Linked DNA regions of Cricetulus griseus. The protein of the gene in region 2 binds, or shares a complex with, the protein of the main gene of each other region. Links are inferred from orthologs where the notes say so. Each region holds a gene or a part of one and is shown on either strand. Other genes may lie near its edges.

What was found. The genes of interacting proteins can lie anywhere in the genome.
Region 1: the proteins of Srrt (region 2) and Ncbp2 are in contact, whole or in part, in a cryo-EM structure (PDB 8PMP), measured with the Homo sapiens proteins. The link is inferred for Cricetulus griseus from reciprocal best matches to the Homo sapiens genes SRRT and NCBP2. Residues at the interface, in NP_056992.4 of Homo sapiens: Asp857, Arg859, Ala860, Ile861, Val862, Glu863, Tyr864, Arg865, Ala869, Asp874; in NP_031388.2 of Homo sapiens: Ser48, Phe49, Tyr50, Thr51, Thr52, Glu53, Gln55, Lys67, Met71, Leu73, Met76, Lys77, Lys78, Thr79, Ala80, Tyr89, Asp107, Glu121.

Annotation. Positions count from the first base shown.
Region 1 is NC_048597.1:57,541,209-57,551,739, reverse strand, and holds Ncbp2 (nuclear cap-binding protein subunit 2), read left to right. Parts: upstream 1-177; 5' UTR 178-254; coding exon 255-332; intron 333-4,698; coding exon 4,699-4,880; intron 4,881-6,694; coding exon 6,695-6,833; intron 6,834-7,292; coding exon 7,293-7,364; 3' UTR 7,365-8,976; downstream 8,977-10,531. Other genes in the region: protein NCBP2AS2, read right to left, coding at 1-32. UniProt on the Homo sapiens protein: Component of the cap-binding complex (CBC), which binds co-transcriptionally to the 5' cap of pre-mRNAs and is involved in various processes such as pre-mRNA splicing, translation regulation, nonsense-mediated mRNA decay, RNA-mediated gene silencing (RNAi) by microRNAs (miRNAs) and mRNA export.
Region 2 is NC_048597.1:116,215,636-116,224,017, reverse strand, and holds the start of Srrt (serrate RNA effector molecule homolog), read left to right. Parts: upstream 1-2,006; 5' UTR 2,007-2,274; intron 2,275-2,506; 5' UTR 2,507-2,524; coding exon 2,525-2,646; intron 2,647-6,654; coding exon 6,655-6,783; intron 6,784-7,011; coding exon 7,012-7,158; intron 7,159-7,387; coding exon 7,388-7,576; intron 7,577-8,382. UniProt on the Homo sapiens protein: Acts as a mediator between the cap-binding complex (CBC) and the primary microRNAs (miRNAs) processing machinery during cell proliferation.

The sequences.
Region 1 (10,531 bases), about 59 Mb from region 2:
AGCAGGGCTGCCAGCAGCCGCCGGAAAATCATCGTCCTCGGAGCGCCCGGGAACCCGGGGCGAGCCTTCACTCACCTTCCGACCGGCCACTCCCGACGACGGACAAGCCGGCGCCGCATGATGACGACACAGCCGCACCAGGATTGGCCCTGACCACGTCGGCTTACTGCAACAGGACGCACGCATTTCCGTTTCCGCCGCCACCGCCGCCTGGTCCTTCCAGTCGTGGCCGCGTCGTGGTTCGTGTCTGCACCATGTCCGGTGGCCTCCTGAAGGCGCTACGCAGTGACTCCTACGTGGAGCTCAGCGAGTACCGGGACCAGCACTTCCGGGTGAGGCGGGCCGGGCCACGAGAGGGGCTGGCTTTGGGCTGGAATACTGAGAAACGGTTTGCATTTGTCTTACTGTGTCTTCCACTCGTCTTATTGTGTCTTCCTTCCTGTTTTGTTGGGGTCCTAAAATGCGAATGGGGTCCCAGAGGTGTTTGGATATCATTGAAGCCACTTTACTCCTAGGGAACCTGGGATTTGCTTTTACAGTTTCTTACTGCTGCTGCGGGTACCAGCACCAATGCAGGGAGGTTCGGGTAGTGGTGGCTGTTTTGATGGGCTTGTCTTGCTTGGGAAAGTGTCTGTAATGAAGGAGTTATCCCTGCGTTGGCTGACCCAGACAGTATAGCCGTTTTTGTTTTTATAATCAGCTAGACATTCCCGTCTGGTATTACAGTCCTTAGTTTTTGTAAGACAGTCCTACAAAGTTGGCAATAGTAGGAGACTCAAAGTTGAGCCCTGTTTTTTGCTGTCTGACGGGCATCGGGCATGGACAAGCCACACGAGTCACAATAAGGTTGTCTGGATGGCAAAATCCAGTGCAGGCACTGGCTACACAGAGAAACCCTGTCTCGAAATACAAGCAAAAACACAAAGAAACTCAATCAGCTTAATTTGAAAACGTATACTGTGTGTCTGGTATGAGTTTCACTTGTACTGCTGTTTTTGTTTTGTTTTGTTTTGTTTTTAACAGTTCCCATTACTTTCAACAGTTCCACATCAGTAACTAACGATTTTGAATTTAAAGCATCCTGCAAGGTTAAAACCAGGAGAGGGATCATTTATTTCTTTTGTCAAAAGCCTGTAGCTCTGTTCGGACATTAATAATTTCTGTCGTGCATTTTTTAGTGTCAGTGCTGTACTGAGTGTGAAATTAAGTTACACTGAAGCTGTAAACTGTTTGGATTTTACTTGTGAGAAACGAACAGCAGTACAAAGTGAATCTGCTAGCCAGGTGCGATGGTGGACATCTGTATTCCTAGTTGTTCTGGAGACTGAGGCAGGAAGATCCCATGAGATCAGCTGGAACATGTAAAAGAAAATGTTGAAGTGATTATTTTCTCTAATGGATCATCGAAAGTTCTAAAACCTTGGGTTTATTTGGTTTGGGCTTGTTTGTTTGTTTGAGACAGGGTTTCTTGTGTAGCCCTGCCTGTCCTGGCACTCCCTCTGTAAACCAGGCTGGCCTTGAACGCACAGAGATCTGCCTGTCTCAGCCTCCCAGGTGCTGGTATTAAAGGTATGCAACACCACCACTACCACCCAGCTGGGGTTGTTTTTTTCAAGACAGGGTTTCTCTGTGTAGCTTTGGAGCCTATCCTGGCACTTGCTCTGGAGACCAGGCTGGCCCTGAACTCACAGAGATCCGCCTGCCTATGCCTCCCGAGTGCTGGGATTAAAGGTGTGTGCCACCATCGCCCAGGGCACCCAGCTGTTTGTTTGAATGCAAATGACTATTGTTCCATAGACTTCACCTGTTCAGTCCTGTTGTGATCTTAAGGCAATGTGGTAGTGGGGATAAGACCAGAATTTTACTTTGTTTTGTTTTTTAAACTGTAACTTGGAAAGCTAGAGAGATGTCTTAGAGGTTAGCACAAGCTGTTCTGGAGGACCTGGATTTAGTTCCCAGTCCTGGCATGATGACTCACAACCATCTGTAACTGATTCCAAAGGATCTGGTGCCCTCTTCTGGTCTCTGAAGGCACTAGCCATGCATCTGGTACACAGACATACAAACACGCAAAACACCCATACCTATAAAATAATAATAAAGCCAAGCCAAAAACTGTAACTTGGAGATGGGTGTGATGACCCATGCCTGTTACTGAAGCATTTGGGGGAGGTGGTAGCATGAGTCTCAGGAGTCTGAGGCCAGATTGGGCTATCTCAGAAAACAATTGGGCTAAGTAGACTTAGCTCAACAGGTAGAATGCTTGCCTAGCATGCATGCATGAAACTCTTGGGTAGATCTTGAGCTGTATATAAACTTGGAGTGGTGGTGAGTGCCTATAAGCCCAGTACTAGGAAAGTGGAGGCAAGAGGATCAGCAATTCAGTGTTATCCTTGGTTACAATGGTTCAATACAGCCTAAGCTACATGAAACCCTGTCTCAAAAAAACAGTAACAAAAGCATCTGGAGACAGTTGAGTGGTGGTGGCACAGGCCTGTAATCCCAGCCCAGCACTCAGGAGGCAGAGGCAGGCCTGGTCTTCAAAGAGTTACAGGACAGTCTCCAAACCTACAGAGAAACCCTGTCTTGAAACCCCCCCCAAAAAAAACAAAGTGGTAGGGGGTGTCTGGAGGACTCTAGTTCAGTCCCTAACACACCAGGTATCATCTCACAGCCAGTTTCAGGGAATCTGATGCCTCTGGTCTCCAAGGGCTGTCACACTGTGCGTGCATACGCATGCACGCATGCATGCACAATAACTTAAAAAGTAAAGAAAACTGCAGAGCTGGAGAGATGGCTCAGTGGTTAAGAGCACTGGCTTCCAAAGGTCCCAAGTTCAATTCCCAGCAACCACAGAGCAGCCCACAACCATAGTAATGAGATCTGGTGCCCTCTTCTGGCCTGCAGGCACACATGTAGGTGGAACACTGCATACATAATAAGTAAATACCTGCTAGCCTGAGCTCTGTTATAAAAAGAATGCAGGTGATTAGTGCACTCATATTCTCAGAAAAAAAGGGAACTGGATCAACATTACTTAAGGAATACTAGATGAAAACTGGAGAGTTCTAGAGTGAATTCCCTGAACTTAAGTCTTATCAGCTCCTCCAGACTGGATTCTATCATATGGTTGTCTGGACTAAAAAATGTCTGGTCAGTTGGTATATCTGTTTAGTCACATCTGTGCATTTGTGTCCTTTCCAGTGGGAATGCTAGAAAGCCCAGGGATAACTCCCCCCCCCCTTTTCTTCTGATAAACACCATGCTAGCTGAGTGTGGTGGCTCATGTGTATAATCACAGCTTTCAGGAGGCTGAAGCAGGGTGTTCAAAGCTCAAGACTAGTCTAGACTATAATGTAAGGTCCCAGAGATAAGAAACAAACCTGGAGCTGGGGGTGTTGCTCAGCATGCTAACGTGAAACCTTGAGTTTATTCCCCATCACCACAAATAATCAAATACCACATCTAAGACCCAATGAACCATCTTATACCTGGGGACTGCTTTATGTTGGTTGAAGCTCGCTTAAACTCCCATCTTTAGCACGTGTCTCTCTCTCTCTCTCTCTCTCTCTCTCTCTCTCTCTCTCTCTCTCTCTCTCTCTTTCTCTCTCTCTCTCGCTCGCTCGCTCTCTCTCACTCTCTCTGGCTTCATCCTGTCTTTTAAAGAAAGTCTTGCCAGACAGTGGTGGTGCACACCTTTAATCTCAGCACTAGGAGCCTTAAAACAGGCAAGTCTCTGAGCTCTACATTAGCCAAAGCTACAGAGAGAGACCACATTTTAAAAAAGAAAGAAAAGAAAAAAAAAATCCTCTTAGTGGTCACTAACCTCTTACATGCACAAAAACATAACCATGCAAATCACCTAGCAGTTTTTGCTATGAACAGGCTTTAGGGGAGTACTGACAAGACTTACTTTTATTATAAAGGGTAAAAGGCCTTTCTGATATGTTCTGTCAAGGTGTAGAATTTGAACTTGGCCATTAGAGAAGGATCCAGTGCTGAGGGCAATGAACTATGCAAGAAAAAGGCATGCCACTCTTATGGCAGTATGATATAGGAGGATATGTGCTTTGTTTCTCCACTAAAAGCAGGCTGAACCTTACACTAGTATTTTAGAATGGGAATACTTCCAGACTGGTAGGGTTCTTACCTAATATGTAATATCTTGGGTTCAATTTCCAATGCCCCAAAACAAATTCACACTTTGAATAGTCAGTACTCTTAACCTATAAGCCATCTCTGCATTCACCCCACAACCACCTCTTAGGGCAAGGAAGAGTATGTGCTAGGGATCAGAAGATGAGAGCCTTTAATTTCCAGATCAGAATGGGCATCTTTATTATACTTGGAAATATGACTTTAACCAAGGCTCTGTAATTTTAGTTTTCAAGTCTGTTCATTTTATATATGTGTAATGCTTATGGAGGATTCACTCTTGTTTCTGCTCTGCACTGTCTACTCCAGACTGGGCTGGCCTCAAGCTTCAAGGAGATTCTCTATTCCGGTCCCATGTTCTGTAGGAGTGCTGGGATTACAGGTGCATGCCACCACATCCAGCTCTTCACTGGGCTTCCAGGGATCAAACTCAAGTTGTCAGGCTTGCACAGCTAGTGCTTCTCCTGACTAAGCATTCTATAGCCCTAAACAAATCTCTTTTTAGGTTGTAATGTTTAATTTCGTCTCTATTTGAAACTCTAGGGTGACAATGAAGAACAAGAAAAATTACTGAAGAAAAGCTGTACATTATATGTTGGAAATCTTTCCTTTTATACAACTGAAGAACAGATTTATGAACTCTTCAGCAAGAGTGGTGATATAAAGAAGATCATCATGGGTCTGGATAAAATGAAGAAAACGGCGTGTGGATTCTGTTTTGTGGAGTATCCTTCTTGGGCATCTAATGGAACCATTGAACCAGGACGGAGCAAGAGCGCGAGTACCTGCCTCTTTTCTTTTTTCTTTTTTTTTTTAATATGGCCCTGGCTAATCTGGAACTCTGGCCATCTAGCTGTCTGCCTCCTGGTGTTAGGATTCAAGGTGTGTGCCACTATACCCCACTTGGTTTTTTAAGGCACTAACTTACTATAATCCCTATCCTTTTCTCTCAGTTCTTCCTCTGAGTCATACTCTGTAAATTGCAAAACTGATACTACATTCCATTCAGAAATTTTGTTCACAGATGAATCTTTAAGAAAAGGTGTCTAATCCTAGCACCTGGGAGGCAGAGGCAGGTGGATATCTGGGTTTGAGGACAACCTGGTCTACCTAGTGAGTTCCTAGACAGTGAGGCCTACAGAGAGACCTTGTCTCGAAAAAGAGTTTTAGCCAGGTATGGTGATACACACCTTTAATCCCAGCACTCAAGGCAGAGTCAGGGGATCTCTGTGAGTTTGAGCTCAGTCGGGTCTACAAAGAGTTCCAGGACAGCCTGAGCTACACAGACCTGGACCCTGTCTCAGGGAGAAAAAAAATCTTGTTGTTTAGATTAGCTCCATTCCTGAGCTAAAGCCCCCAGGCAGCTGAGCATAAAGGCTCAAATCACCACAGTTTTTGGTGTATGATTTTGTAGTCAAACACACTTCTTTCTTTCCCTAAGCATAAAGGGCCAACCAGATTTCCAAAGTTTTGTACCCTACCAGCAATAGCATCAAAGAGCTCACAGGGACAACAGGGGAGAATATAAAATGGCCCTTAAGAACCAGTGTTTACATTTGCCTTGCAAGCCACAGATCAACATTCATGATAAGTGTACAGAAGTAAGCCTGCTGTTGCTCATTGGTTTTGCTCTTTGTCAAGCTTTCATGAAACAGAAGTCATTAAATGCCCACTGCTTGCTAGGCATTGTCTAGGTGTCAGATGCTGAAATTTCACCAGAAGTTTCCCTATAATTAGGATTTTTTATTTATGTGTATAAGCATGCCTGTAATATACATATATTTATGTATGTATATGAATAAGATTTTCCTTTTGTGGTGGTTTTTAAAATCTTTATATTCATTTTGTTTTTTTTGTTTTTTTTAATGTGTGAGTGCTTTGCCTGTACATATGTCTGTGCACCACGTGGTACCCACCCTCTGAGATCATAAGGCAGCATCAGATCTGAGAACTAGAGTTAAGGTTGTGAACCACCATATACGTTCTGGGTCTCGAGCCCAGGGCCTCTCAAAGAGAAAGTGCTCTTAACCACTGAGCCATATCTTAGCCCCTCCCCACTTTTGACATTGTTTTTGTTTTGAGACAGAATCTTGGTATGTAGTCCAGGCTGGCCTCAAACCCAGTAATCTCCCTGCTTCCGGCCTTTTGAGTGCTAGGATTATGGACATGAATTGTTATGTTCAACTTTTTCACTGTTCTTGCATAAGAAGTTTGTGGTCCAATATCACATTGACCATATTTTTCTATTTGCAAATCAAAACATGGACCAAATAATTATTAGCAGATATATATATATATATATAGGAAATCATGACTGACACAGGACAAATGTCATTTTTACCTATCCTTTACATGTCCCTAAGTGCTGTTGGACCAACTTTGAACTGGCTTTTACAAAATGAGTATCTTTGTAATTAGTCTGGTTGGGCTAGCTTTTCTACTTTAAACATTTTTTTTAGTAACTTGCATCATGTAGGTGTGTTGCTTCCTGTCTCTTGCTTGAAGAAATGCTGGTGTTCCTTAATACTTAACACTTAAGATACTATTCGAGAGCAGATGCAGAGAATGCCATGCGGTACATAAATGGAACTCGTCTGGATGACCGGATCATACGCACAGACTGGGATGCAGGCTTTAAGGAGGGCAGGCAGTATGGACGTGGACGGTCTGGGGGTCAGGTATGCTCCAAGGGCATCAGAGCTGGTCTGCCTGGGGTTCCAGTTATGAAGAGATGTTTTGTCAGTTTGTGGTCATCCTTTATGAACCTGTGCTTGTTAGTGTTGATGGGTTTGGAGGGGTGGTTTCCTAAGACAAGATCTTGCCATGTAGCCAACTGGTTATCAAACTTGAGATCCTCCTGCCTCTGCTTCCTGAATGTTGAAATCACAGATGGGTGAACACCAGGGCCATTGATAAGGAAATTCTAGACTTTAAAATATTAAGTGTTACTGAACTCATAATAGGGGTCTTACCCCTGCAACAGTGCCTAGAACAAAAGTGAAATGCATTGAAATGAATTTAATTTTTACGTCCTGCTTGTACATGGACACCGGAAAAGATTTAGCTATATCTGGCATGATTGTTTGTTGCATCAACATTCCAAGGAGCTGTGTTTTTTGGTTTTTTTCCCAATTAAGGTTCGAGATGAGTATCGGGAGGACTACGATGCTGGGAGAGGCGGCTATGGCAAACTGGCACAAAAACAGTGAGTGGTGAAAGCCCCAAGTACACAGCTCACTCTGTTGATGATGTTGGAGAACATTACCCAAGGTCTGATCAGTATAGTATCTCTGTTGCACTGGAAGCCACTTCTGGTTTTCCTCTGAAATATTAAAAGACAGAATCCAAAAGAATGCCTTTAATTCTAGTCTTATTAGGTTGATTTTCTGTTACTAGGTCAAAAACTGTATTCCTGGGCAGCAGAATATGTGTCAATTAAACTGTCAGCTGAATGGGACACTTCTTTTAGGGAGACTGGAAAATGTAAGGATTGACTTTACAAGCAGTCTGGTAATCTTCATGGGGACAGAAATGATTTTTTTTATATTGTAAGTCTGCATATGTATTACTGAGGTTTTGCTATAGTCTGTAGCTTTGCTCTAAATTAGGAACAGGGGTTTGCTTTTTATATTTCAATATAGTTGGTACAGAAGTCAGCCTTCACTGGGCCTGGGATGCTCCCTGCTTCTGTGCTTATTTATACTTCAGGACACTATCAGTCAGTACTTGAAGAGTGTTCACTAAACATATCCCTCAAAAGATACAAATGTTTCACTGGCAGTTTAAAACAAAACGCCTTTAATCCCAGCACTTGGGAGGCAGAGGCAGGTGAATCTCTGTGAGTTCGAGCCCAGTCTGGTCTATAGAGTGAGTTCTAGGACAGACTCCAAAGCTACAGAGAAACCCTGTCTCAAAAAAAAAAACCAAAAAAACCCAAGGACTACTTTATACAAAGAGCCTCTGCTATCCAAAGTAGGGGAAGACATTGTCAGTAGAGAATAGAATCTAAGTTCAGACACTGCCTTGACATGGAAGCTTCAATTGGGGCCATTAGATTATTTCTTCCCACTTTCAAAATGACCTTGGAATAGAATGGGCTTTTTAAAAGGGCTTCAGCCAGGCCTATAATCCTGGCTACTTGGGAGGCTGAAGCAAGAGAATCAAAAGTTCAAGGCCACCCTGGGCACCTTTTGAGTCTGTCTCAAAACAGAAACAGAAAAGGGGCAGGGGGAGATACAGGGCACAGTGGGTAGGCACTTATGTGAGTGGTCGTGGGTTTATTCCCCAGGACTGCCTGAACAATAAGAATTTGAAGACTGGGAGTCTTTAACAACAGAAACCCTCCTCGAGGGAATGTCTGTGGTAACTAACACACCCCTTAGTCTGTTTCCTTTTTCCCTCCAACTGTGCTTGCTGAGGTCCGTGCAGTGATAGTAAGCTGAAGGGCTCTACAGAAGAGTCTAGAGAATTTTGCATTCTGTCCTAATATTACATATGAGTAATTTTTCATGATTCAAAAAAAGACAAATTTTTTCATCTGTTACCTTCTAATTCTCATGAGTTTTTCAAGGGTGGGACAGAACATCTTCAAAGTTGCAATAAGTGTGGTTTTCTTGGAGCTGTAACAACTTAGGAAGCCCATTTACAAATACTTAATGAGGAGACTTGAGTTTTAAAATAAGGCTTTTTATACTGCAGTTTGAACTGTTTATCTTATATTCTTTTGTAGTAAACTATAATTCAGATTTCTATAATCTTATGACCCAAAACATTGGTAATTTTGTCTTCTGTAACAAGTATCAATAAATTTAGACCAATGTATTCTGTGTATATTTCCTTGCCTATAAAGGAGGACATGTTTTGGTGCCCTGGTATCCTGTGAGAGTCTGAATAATGAATGTACAGAATTTGTATGTCCATTTCAGTTCAATATACTATGGCAGTACATGAAAAGGAAGCCTGGGTGACCCACCTCTGTGAAAACAAAAGATGCACCAAGCAACTACTAAAGGAGGAAGGCAGAAAGAGGCGAGTTTTCCAGAAGACTTGTACTCTAGATGATGGGGCAGGAAGAAAATGGGGCTGAATTAGGATGTTTCTTGGGCTTGAGGATGCTAATTTTGACAGTCCTTTTTCATTATACTCCTTGTCTTAGTTAGGGTTTCTATTGCTGTGTACAGCTCAATAGATAGAGCTAGGTAGGGCTTACAGTGGTCACTGTTCTTCAGTGAGCCGTTACCACTGGAATGGCACTAAAAAAATACTATCCACTAGATATATTATTCAACACAAGAGAACACATGTTTATAAAGGCATTTAGTTTATTTTTCAAAAAAATATTTGCTAGAAGGGTTGAGTACTGACTGTAATTTTACATGATCATAATCTTTCAAGTGAACAACTTGTCTAGGTCTGCTTTTGTAACCCCAAATACAATTGCATTTCTTGGATGCTATTCCCCAGATCTTAGATGTCTACCAGCCAGGAGGCAGAGCCTAGCATACAGCAGAAGTATATGCTGTATAACTGCTGACTAATTGGGTCTCTTAACATAACGAAGCAGAGCAGATAATCAGTGTATTAACTCACTGTTTCTGGCCCTGACCTGCTCAGACCCCAATTGCTTCTACTGCAGGGATGAAGCACTGAACCACAATTGCAAAGAAAAGGGACAACTGATATTAGGCAAGTGCTGGCTGTGTCCCCAGTTAGGTCTGTTACTGTTGTATTTCAACCATAAATTCAAGATGACCATGTTATTCATATTCAGTGGTAAACAGAGAATACAGTGCAAAGCCAAAAATGCACTGTGAAATTATTGGCAGCAACTGCTTTTCTTTTCCTTGAGCAGCCAACTGAAAGTTAATTCTCATGATAACTAAGAAAATTAAAAGATGAATTAATATATATTCACTACAAGAAATTTAACAAAAGCACTGGAAAGAAGCAACTACAGCCAGGTAAGTTTTGCCATGAGGACTGGGCAGCTTATTGAAGGCTCGTCATATATGAATAGCTTTAAGTTTTTGCAGGGTTTACATTCATCCCAGTGACATAAAGTCTGCCTACTTTATGAGCATCAACAGTTCAGTGCCAAGCCAGTGACAATAAAGCATTACCCCAAACATCCAGACAAAATATTCTGCAATCTAGGACTTGAAAGCTAAACAGAAGTTTACTTGTAATCACAAGAAGAGAAAGAACAATTACACATTCTGAAACCAAGTCTTACTAATGACAGACATGGGCTTAAACTGTACTCAAAACATCTGGCATTTAGGCTAAAGCAAGCTGAACAGTCCACCTGAAGGTGCCCTATCATGCTAGAAGAGAAAGAGTAACTGGGCCTGGACAGCTGAGTCTGTTCAATCCTGCA
Region 2 (8,382 bases):
CCCCAACCATCACCTCCCTGGGCATCACCTTTACTGTTTGTCACCAAATGCTGCCGCTTCCTCCTCTCTTCATGAAATAATAATCCTTGAAGAGTTTAAAAGCACTTGCAAGTCTGCTTTTTCATTGGAGTTTTATAGGATGAGGCCATGTAAACCTCAAATTCCAGCACTCAGGAGGCAGAGGCAGGTGGATCTCTGTGACTTCAAGGCCAGCCTGGTCTACATAATAAATTCCAGGCCAGTGAGGGCTCCATAGTGAGATAGCTTAAAACAAAGGCTATCTTAAACTTTATTTGGTTTTTCGAGACAGGGTTTCCTCTGTGGTACAGTCCTGGCTGACTTGGAACTCTCTTTGTAGACCAGGCTGGCCTCAAACTCACAGAGATCTTCCTGCCTTTGCCTCCCAAGTGCTGGGACTAAAGGCGTGCTCCACCACTGCCCAGCTCAAATGGCTCCATTTCTATTGGTCTTTCACTCCTCCAGTCTTCTGATGGCAGACTTGACTGACTGCAGAAGTGGTGCTGCAGGTCCAGGCCCCACAAGCAGGAGGGACAAATTCTAATGTGTCCCAGGCTACCCTTGAATTTGATACATAACTGAGAGAGCCCAGGCTGTTCTTGAACTCTGGATCCTCCTGCCTTCACTTCTCAAGTGCTAGGATTACCAGGAGTCTGCCATTGTGTCTGGTGACTTTTTTTGTGGGGGATGGGAGGGTCCTGGGGATGGACCAGGGACACACACATGCTAAGCAAATGCCCTACCACTGAACTGTAACACCCCCCCCCCTTCTTGGTTTCTTATTTTCTAAACCCAAGTCCTTTCATATGGTAGGCAAGCATTCTATCACCACTCTTCCCTCTTAAACTATGTGTGGATGAGCTGAACTCTGTGGTGAATGCCTTTAATCCCAGCAATTGGGAGGCAGATGTAGGTGGATCTCTTGAGTTCTAGAACAGCCTGATCTCTAGAGGGAGTTCCAGGACAGCCTGAGCGACACAGAGCAAAAAACAAAAAATTATGTGTGCATGTATACCTCTGTGTGGTTACATGTACATTTGAGCATAGTAGTCCAGAAGAGGTCATCAGATCCCCAAGAACTGGAGTTAACAGCCTGTGAGGGTGCTGGGAATCAAACTCTGGCACTCTGCAAGAGCAGGAAGTGCTCTTAACCACTGAACCATCTTTTCAGACACTTCTGGAGGATTTTTTTTTTTTTTTTTTTTTTTTTTTTTTTTTTTTTTTTTGCGACAGGGTTTCACCAAATTGCCCAGGCTTGCTTTGAACTCATTTTGTAGCCCTTAAATTTGTGATCCTCCAGCTTCAACTTGCTGAGTAGCTGGGATCACAGGCCTGTGCCAACATGACTACATTTTTAAATGCCCCTTATTGTAAAGACACTTTTACGTCTGTGGCATGCTCCATTCTTTAGCTTGGCATTTTATCATTGAGAAGGGCTTGGTGTTATCTTGGGGAATTAATTATGCATTTAAACTGGAAGCCACTGGATCCTGGTGGTTGCTTCCAGACTGCTATGCACAACTTCCCGTTAAAGAATTGGGGATTAAAACTGAGATTTGGATGGTTGGCGCAAGATTTAGGCGCCTCTGTCCAAGAAAGCAGGAAGAATGCGTTTTGCAAGTAGCACATAGTGTGGATTTCTGGGAAAGAAGAAAATGGTGGGAGATGCCTTTAAAATGGTTGCTTGCATGCATGATTCCCTAGATATCCACTGCCCTCAAACCCATCCATAGCGCGAGGAGAGGGCAGATCCACCCTTGGAGAGGGCAAGTAATGCCCCAACCCAGGCCTCTTGCAATGCAACCTCTAGATGCAAACTAGCTCCAACACAGGAGACGTTACCGGAGAGAAACTCTCCATCTCCCTTCTCGTGTTCAAAAGGAAGCACCACGTTCAGAAGGCCTGGCTTGGCCCAGCTCAGCTTCCGTAGCTCCTAGCGCTGGAGCGATTTTGTCGTAAAACCGCGCGAGATTTCCGGGTCTCCACCCTTTTCCCATCATCCCCTTGCTCGCTCTCTGAGTTTTAGTTTGGTCGGGGGTCTTGTTTGTGCTTGGGAGCCGAGCTTCGGGGTGACTCCTGCGCGCGCCACCCCCCCTAACCCTCGGCAGTCCCGCTGCGGTCTCTCGTCGGCCTCCGGGCTGAGAATTCCCCCGTCCGCCTTCAAACCCTCCTTGCGGTTCGTCGGCGCGCGTTCCGGTCCGCCCGGAAAACCAGCCCGCCGGCGGCGCGCGCTGCCAACGGCCCGACCTCGGCCAGGTGGGGGAGGGGAAGGAAAGGCCCGGGCGGCGGGATCGGAAGGAGACGGTGCCCGGGGGCTTCGGGGAGCACAAGGGGGACCCCTGGGGAAGTGAAGCTGTCGGAGCGATCGCCCTGCCCGGGATGGCAGGCCGGCCTCGGCGGGAGGGAGGCGGGCGCTCTGCCCCCGGGGGACTGCCCCTCCGCTGGTCCTTGTTCATCATCACCATGTCCGCCCGCCGCCGGGCCCCAGGCCTCCTCTGACAGCACGATGGGCGACAGCGACGACGAGTACGATCGAAGACGCAGGGACAAATTTCGAAGAGAGCGCAGCGACTATGACCGTTCCCGGGAGAGAGATGAAAGACGCCGAGGGGACGATTGGAATGACCGGTGAGACGTATTAACGTACTTTGTTTTCCCTTCACAACCGGTCCACGCCGAGGTTTTATTCCGTCCCATCTTGTCTGCGTTGCTTTTTTTCCCTTTACAAAATTTTGTTAGGATGTAATCCACTGTTGGACCGTTTTCTGTGATTCAATACATTCACTGTTGTCTTAGATTTTTGAAAGGCCTTTAAGATCAAAGCTACAGCCAGAAGTAGAGGTGGACAGGAGCCCTACCCAGCTACTTGGACCACTTCGTCTTCCATGCAGGTCTAGGTCACATAGGAAGACTACCCATCTCAAACCCAAATGAGGCGGAACAGACAGGTCTACGTGTTTGAGCCAAGAGTCTGAGTGGGAAAAATCAGTCTTTCTTTGAAATGCATCAGGAGTTTTCCTTCCTCCCTTCCTTCTATTGGAAAGATGGGGTTTCTTATAGCCAGTTGGCCTGGAACTTGCTGGGTAGCTGAGGATGACATTAACAACATTCTAAACCCCTCCACCCCCCCCCAGATTTCAGGCATGCACCACCAGATCCCTGTTTAAACCGTGCTAGGGATGGAGCCCAGGACTTTGTAGTTGCTAGGCAAGCCCTCAGCTGAGCATGTCCTAGTTCCAGGGAGTGCTTGTGCATTTTATTACTTGTAAATTGCATTATTTATTTTTTGAGGCAGGGTCTCTCCGTAGTCCTGGCTGTCCTGGAATTCAATACTATGTAGACCAGTCAGACCCTTAAACACACCGAGATCTGTTTGCCTCTGCTTTCCCAGTACTAGGATTAAAGGTGGCAAGAATTATTATTACTAGTTAGTTTATTTATTTACCTTTGACTTTTTTGAGGCAGGGTTTCTCTGTGTAGCTTTGGAGCCTGTCATGGAACTAGCTCTGTAGACCAGGCTGGCCTTGAACTTATTACAGAGATCATCCGATAAAAGGTGTGTGTCACCACCGCCTGGCTAAGATTTTTTTTTTTTTAAGTTTGTTGAGTGTTTTGTCTACATGTATTTATGCTGTGCCTGATTCCTGTAAGAACAGAGTTGTATCCCTGGAACTGGAATTGAGAGATAGTTGTGAGCTAACAGGTGGTTCCTAGGAACTGAGCCTCAGTCCACTGAACTGCTGAGAGCCATCTCTCTACCCCACCCCTGCACTTTATTGTTTTTCAGACTGGGTCTTATGTACTATTTACTGGCCTGGAGTGTGATCCTCCTGCCTCAGCTCTTCAGTGCTTGAGTTAGAAGTGAGGCAGCATACTTAACTCTCTGGTGCTTCTTAAATAAGAAACTCAAGGTTGCTTTCTGAGTCTGAAACTAGATGAAGTTCTTCAGAGTTCAAAAGTGTCAGGTCAAAGTGGCTTTCAGTACATGCCACAGACAGACCAGAGTGGGAGGTCATTGCAAAGACACTTAAGTTCTGAGGAACAGATGATGTTCAAGACACAGGTGTAGTGTTGGGGAGAGCCTTAGGAAAGGGACACATAGCTGGGTTTCTAGGTAATTCCCTAGAAACAGCTTGAGGTCAACAGGTTGAGACAAGGACACATACTCTTAGTTGGTGTAGTGGTTCTCAAACTGTATTGCTGCCTTTGTTAGTGGCACTGCAGGAATGCTAGTTAAAGCCCGGAGCCTTAGCACAAAGATCATGAAAAGGATGCCCGCTTGAAGAACACCAGTTAGTGTCCCTAAGTAGAGTGTGTGTCTCTGTGTCTGGTTTGGTTTTCAGGATGAGTGTTGGATTAGAAGTACACATAATAGAGCACTGTGTTAGGTGTAGGACAGTTGCTGCCTTCAGCAAGAGCAGTTGTGTGATTGGTTGGGGAGCCTGAAGGTTTCCCAGAGGTGCCATTTTTTTTTTTTTTTTATTTGAGCAGTATCAACACTGGGGTTTCACAAGTAGTGTTAAGCAGACTTGTGCAGGAGAGTAAGCTAAGAGAAATTGTTACTTAGAAGAAATCTGTTATAGTATTTGTTGCTAATGAACTTGCTGGTAGAAACAAAGTTGGAAAATTTGTATCTACCAGTATGAGCTTGACAATGTCCTATTGTGTAGACTTTTCTGAGATAAGCAGTCTTTATGAAGTGTCTTTTTTGTTTGTTTTTTGAGACAGGGTTTCTCTGTGTAGTCCTGGCTGTCCTGGAACTTGCTCTGTAGACCAGGCTGGCTTTGGAACTCACAGATCCACCTGCCTCTGCCTCCTGAGTGCTGGATTAAAGGAGTGTGCCACCACACCCTGTGAAATGTATCTTGATACTATATATTGGGAAATGTCAGGAGCTGCTCAAAGGGCTGGTAGCACAATGAGTAAAAAACTTTGTTTTGAGACAGGGTCTTTTTTTAATTTAAATTCTTTAATACTCATTTACATATCCACCCCCCCCATTCCCTCACCCTCCCATCCTGCCATGTACCCTACCAACCCTCCCAACTCCTCCCCAGGGATAGTGAGGCCCTCCACCTGGGACCTTCAAAGTCTGTCATATCATTTGGAGGATGGCCTAGGCCCTCCTTGCTGTATCTGGGCTGCAGTAGTATCCCTCCATAGGGAATGGACTCCCAAAGTCCATTTGTGCTCTAGGGATAAACACTGGCTCCACTGTTAGAGGTCCCATAGACTGCCCAAGCCTCCTAGCTGGTACCCACATTGAGAGAGCTTGGTTCGGTCCAATGCTGTTTACCAAGCACTAGGGTCTCCGTGCTCTCACTAGGTCAGGTCCACTGTTTTTACGGGTTTCTCCAGCCCCATCTTGGCTCCTTTGCTCATCCCTCCTCCCTGTCCACAGCTGGATTCTGTGAGTATGGTTCAGTGGTGAGCTGTTTGTGCCTGTTTCTGCTTCGAACAGCTACTGGATGAGGCTCTCAGGCGGCAGGCAGAGGGCAGAGACGACACAGGGTCTTAGTTTGATCTCATATTTACTATGTAGCTGCCTCCATTTTCCAAGTGCTAGAGTTATACCTTGCCTGCTTCAACTTACTGTTAAACTGCCTCTTTGCAGGAGTAGAAGCTCACACCTGTAATCTGCACTCCTGGGGTAAGGAAGAGACAATTCTCGTCTAAGTAGGGAGTTCCAGGCCAGCCACAACTACAGACTTTGAGATCCTGTCTCAAAAGCCAAAAAGGGGACTGGGCAAGGTGGCTCACACCTATAGTTAATCCCAGGAGGCAGGGGCTGGAGAATGTCTGAGTTTGAAGCCAGCCTGATCTATGCAGTGAGTTCTTGAACAGCTAGGGCTATATAGACCCCAAATTAACAACCCTCCCTTCCTAAAAAGAAAGATAGAAAGAAAGAAAGGAAGGAACCTATCTAGCTGGCCCAGCTGCTTGAGAGGCTGAGACAGGAGGATTGCTAGAGTTCAAGAGTTTGAGAGCTCTGCCAGCATAACAGGATTCTGTTAACTTTTTTCAGGAGCCAGAAAACATAGCCCAAATGATCTGAAAAAGCCATTTAAGTCTTCCCTTTTATGGAACTGTGTATGGGTGGACAAGGTTGTCTTTCTTCCACCTTATCCCTGTGGAAGCTCTTTTAAACCACACGGTGATGAGGACAGTGCTCCTCCTTATACTAACTTTGAGTGATAGAAGCTTATAGTCCTCTTCCTGAACCTGAGGCAGGAGGCTCTCGAGTTCAAGTACTGCCTGGTGTGCAGAGTGAGTTCAGGGGCAGGACTGGGGACACACTCTAGTTCAGTGCAGAGACACATTCAGGAAGCACTAGATTCAGTTTCTATGCCCCCAAAGTAATATATATTAATATGTAGTTTCAAGGTTCATGAAGCTTTATGGTAGGTGTAGTGGTGTGTGCACTTGGGATGTGAAAGTAAGAGATAGGTTCAGAGTGATGCGCTTTGGTTACATAGGGTGTTCAAGACCAGCCTGTGTGTGAACCACCACAGCTGTCAAGCTATTGGGTGTTTTGTTTGCTTGTGTGTCGTGCTTTGCTAGAGAATGGAAGCCAAGGCCTGTGTTTCCACCACTGCATCCACACCTCCATCTTAGCCACTGTCTTTCCTATTCCAGAGAGTGGGACCGTGGCCGGGAGCGCCGCAGTCGGGGTGAATATCGAGACTATGACCGGAATCGAAGGGAACGTTTCTCCCCCCCTCGCCACGAACTTAGCCCCCCACAAAAGCGCATGCGGAGAGACTGGTAAGGTGGCTTCACTTTTCTTTTTTTACCCTCAGATCCCTTGGGCCTCAGCCCTCCTCTCCTGCTTCCTTGTCTCAGTCATCCCACGCACCCAGCTTTCCTTTGTCCCTTTTATCCCTTGAGTGAGAGACTACATCCTACATGTGCCCTCCTCTTGTCCCTGTCCATGTTCTGGAGAGGTGGCTCTGCTTCTTTGTGTGTCTGACTTTTGTGTCCCCCCCTCCTCAGGGATGAGCACAGTTCTGACCCATACCACAGTGGCTATGACATGCCCTATGCTGGGGGGGGTGGGGGACCAACTTATGGCCCCCCTCAGCCCTGGGGCCACCCAGACGTCCACATCATGCAGCACCATGTCCTGCCTATCCAGGCCAGGTAAAGCCTGGGGTCCTGGGGAGAAGGGAATTTCCAGAAGGGAATTGTTTGGGGCTGCTGGAGACTATGGTTGGAATCTGGGAGAGGGCTAGGTTCTGGGGTGCCTGTGAGGTGTAGCACTTACTGCTTGGGGTAGTGGGTATTTGGACAAAGAATGGGGTGTCTGACTACCTAGGCTCTACCTCTCCCTCACAACCAAGCCTTCTTGTTTGGACGCCCCCTCCCCCAGGCTGGGCAGCATTGCAGAGATTGACTTGGGTGTGCCACCACCTGTAATGAAGTCCTTCAAAGAATTCCTCCTGTCCCTGGATGACTCTGTGGATGAGACTGAGGCAGTCAAACGCTACAATGACTACAAGCTCGACTTCCGAAGGCAGCAGATGCAGGACTTTTTCCTGGCTCATAAAGATGAGGAGTGGTGAGTGCCCCTCTTGCCTGCCCCATTTCTCTGGCCTGGCCAGGGGAGCTGCAGCCTTGTCCTCCTCCAGTTCTCCCCAACATGGCACTTCCTGGGAGTGGGGAAGGGGAGGGAAACTGTTGGCTGGTGGGACCCCCCCCCCCCATTTCCCTTCTCTGCTGTCCTCACTGGGACACCTCCAGGCAGCTGACCAGAGCTACTTAGCCTCTTGGGGCAGCACAAAGACTGCGACCCTCTTGTCAGTTTGGGTCATTGTCATCCCCAACCACCTGTGTGGCAGTGGTCTCCCAAAGGCAACGAGTGAAGCCAGACAAGAACAGCCAAGATCTCAGGGTCGTTTGACAGAGAAAAGAATTTGAATTTTTTTTCCTTATGTGGATGTTTTAATTTTAATCAACCATCTTTTCCCCCCTCCTGCTCCTCCTCCTCATCCTCTTTCTGCTCCTCCTCCTTGAAAAGAGCCAGAACTGGGAACTACACCCGCTCATCGTCGGAGCTCGGAGCAAACCCACCTCCACCCCCACCATACCCAGCCCATACATGAGCCCCTGGGCAGAGCCGCGGGGCCCGGCCAGGCAGACAGGCAGGGCACCGCTGTGCACAATGCAGTGGTCTAGCTGAATGTATTGCTTAGGCAGCTAGTCAGTCAGGGCCCCCACCGCGGAGGCCCGCGGGGGCGGGGCATCTAGGCCGGTCACCCCAGCCAGGAGCCAGCGGGCAGCCCGCCAGCCAGCATGGGCCCTGGGCGCCGCTAGTTAAATCTTGAGCTCTGTTTGACCAAGCAGCCAAGGTAAAGACCCTGGAGG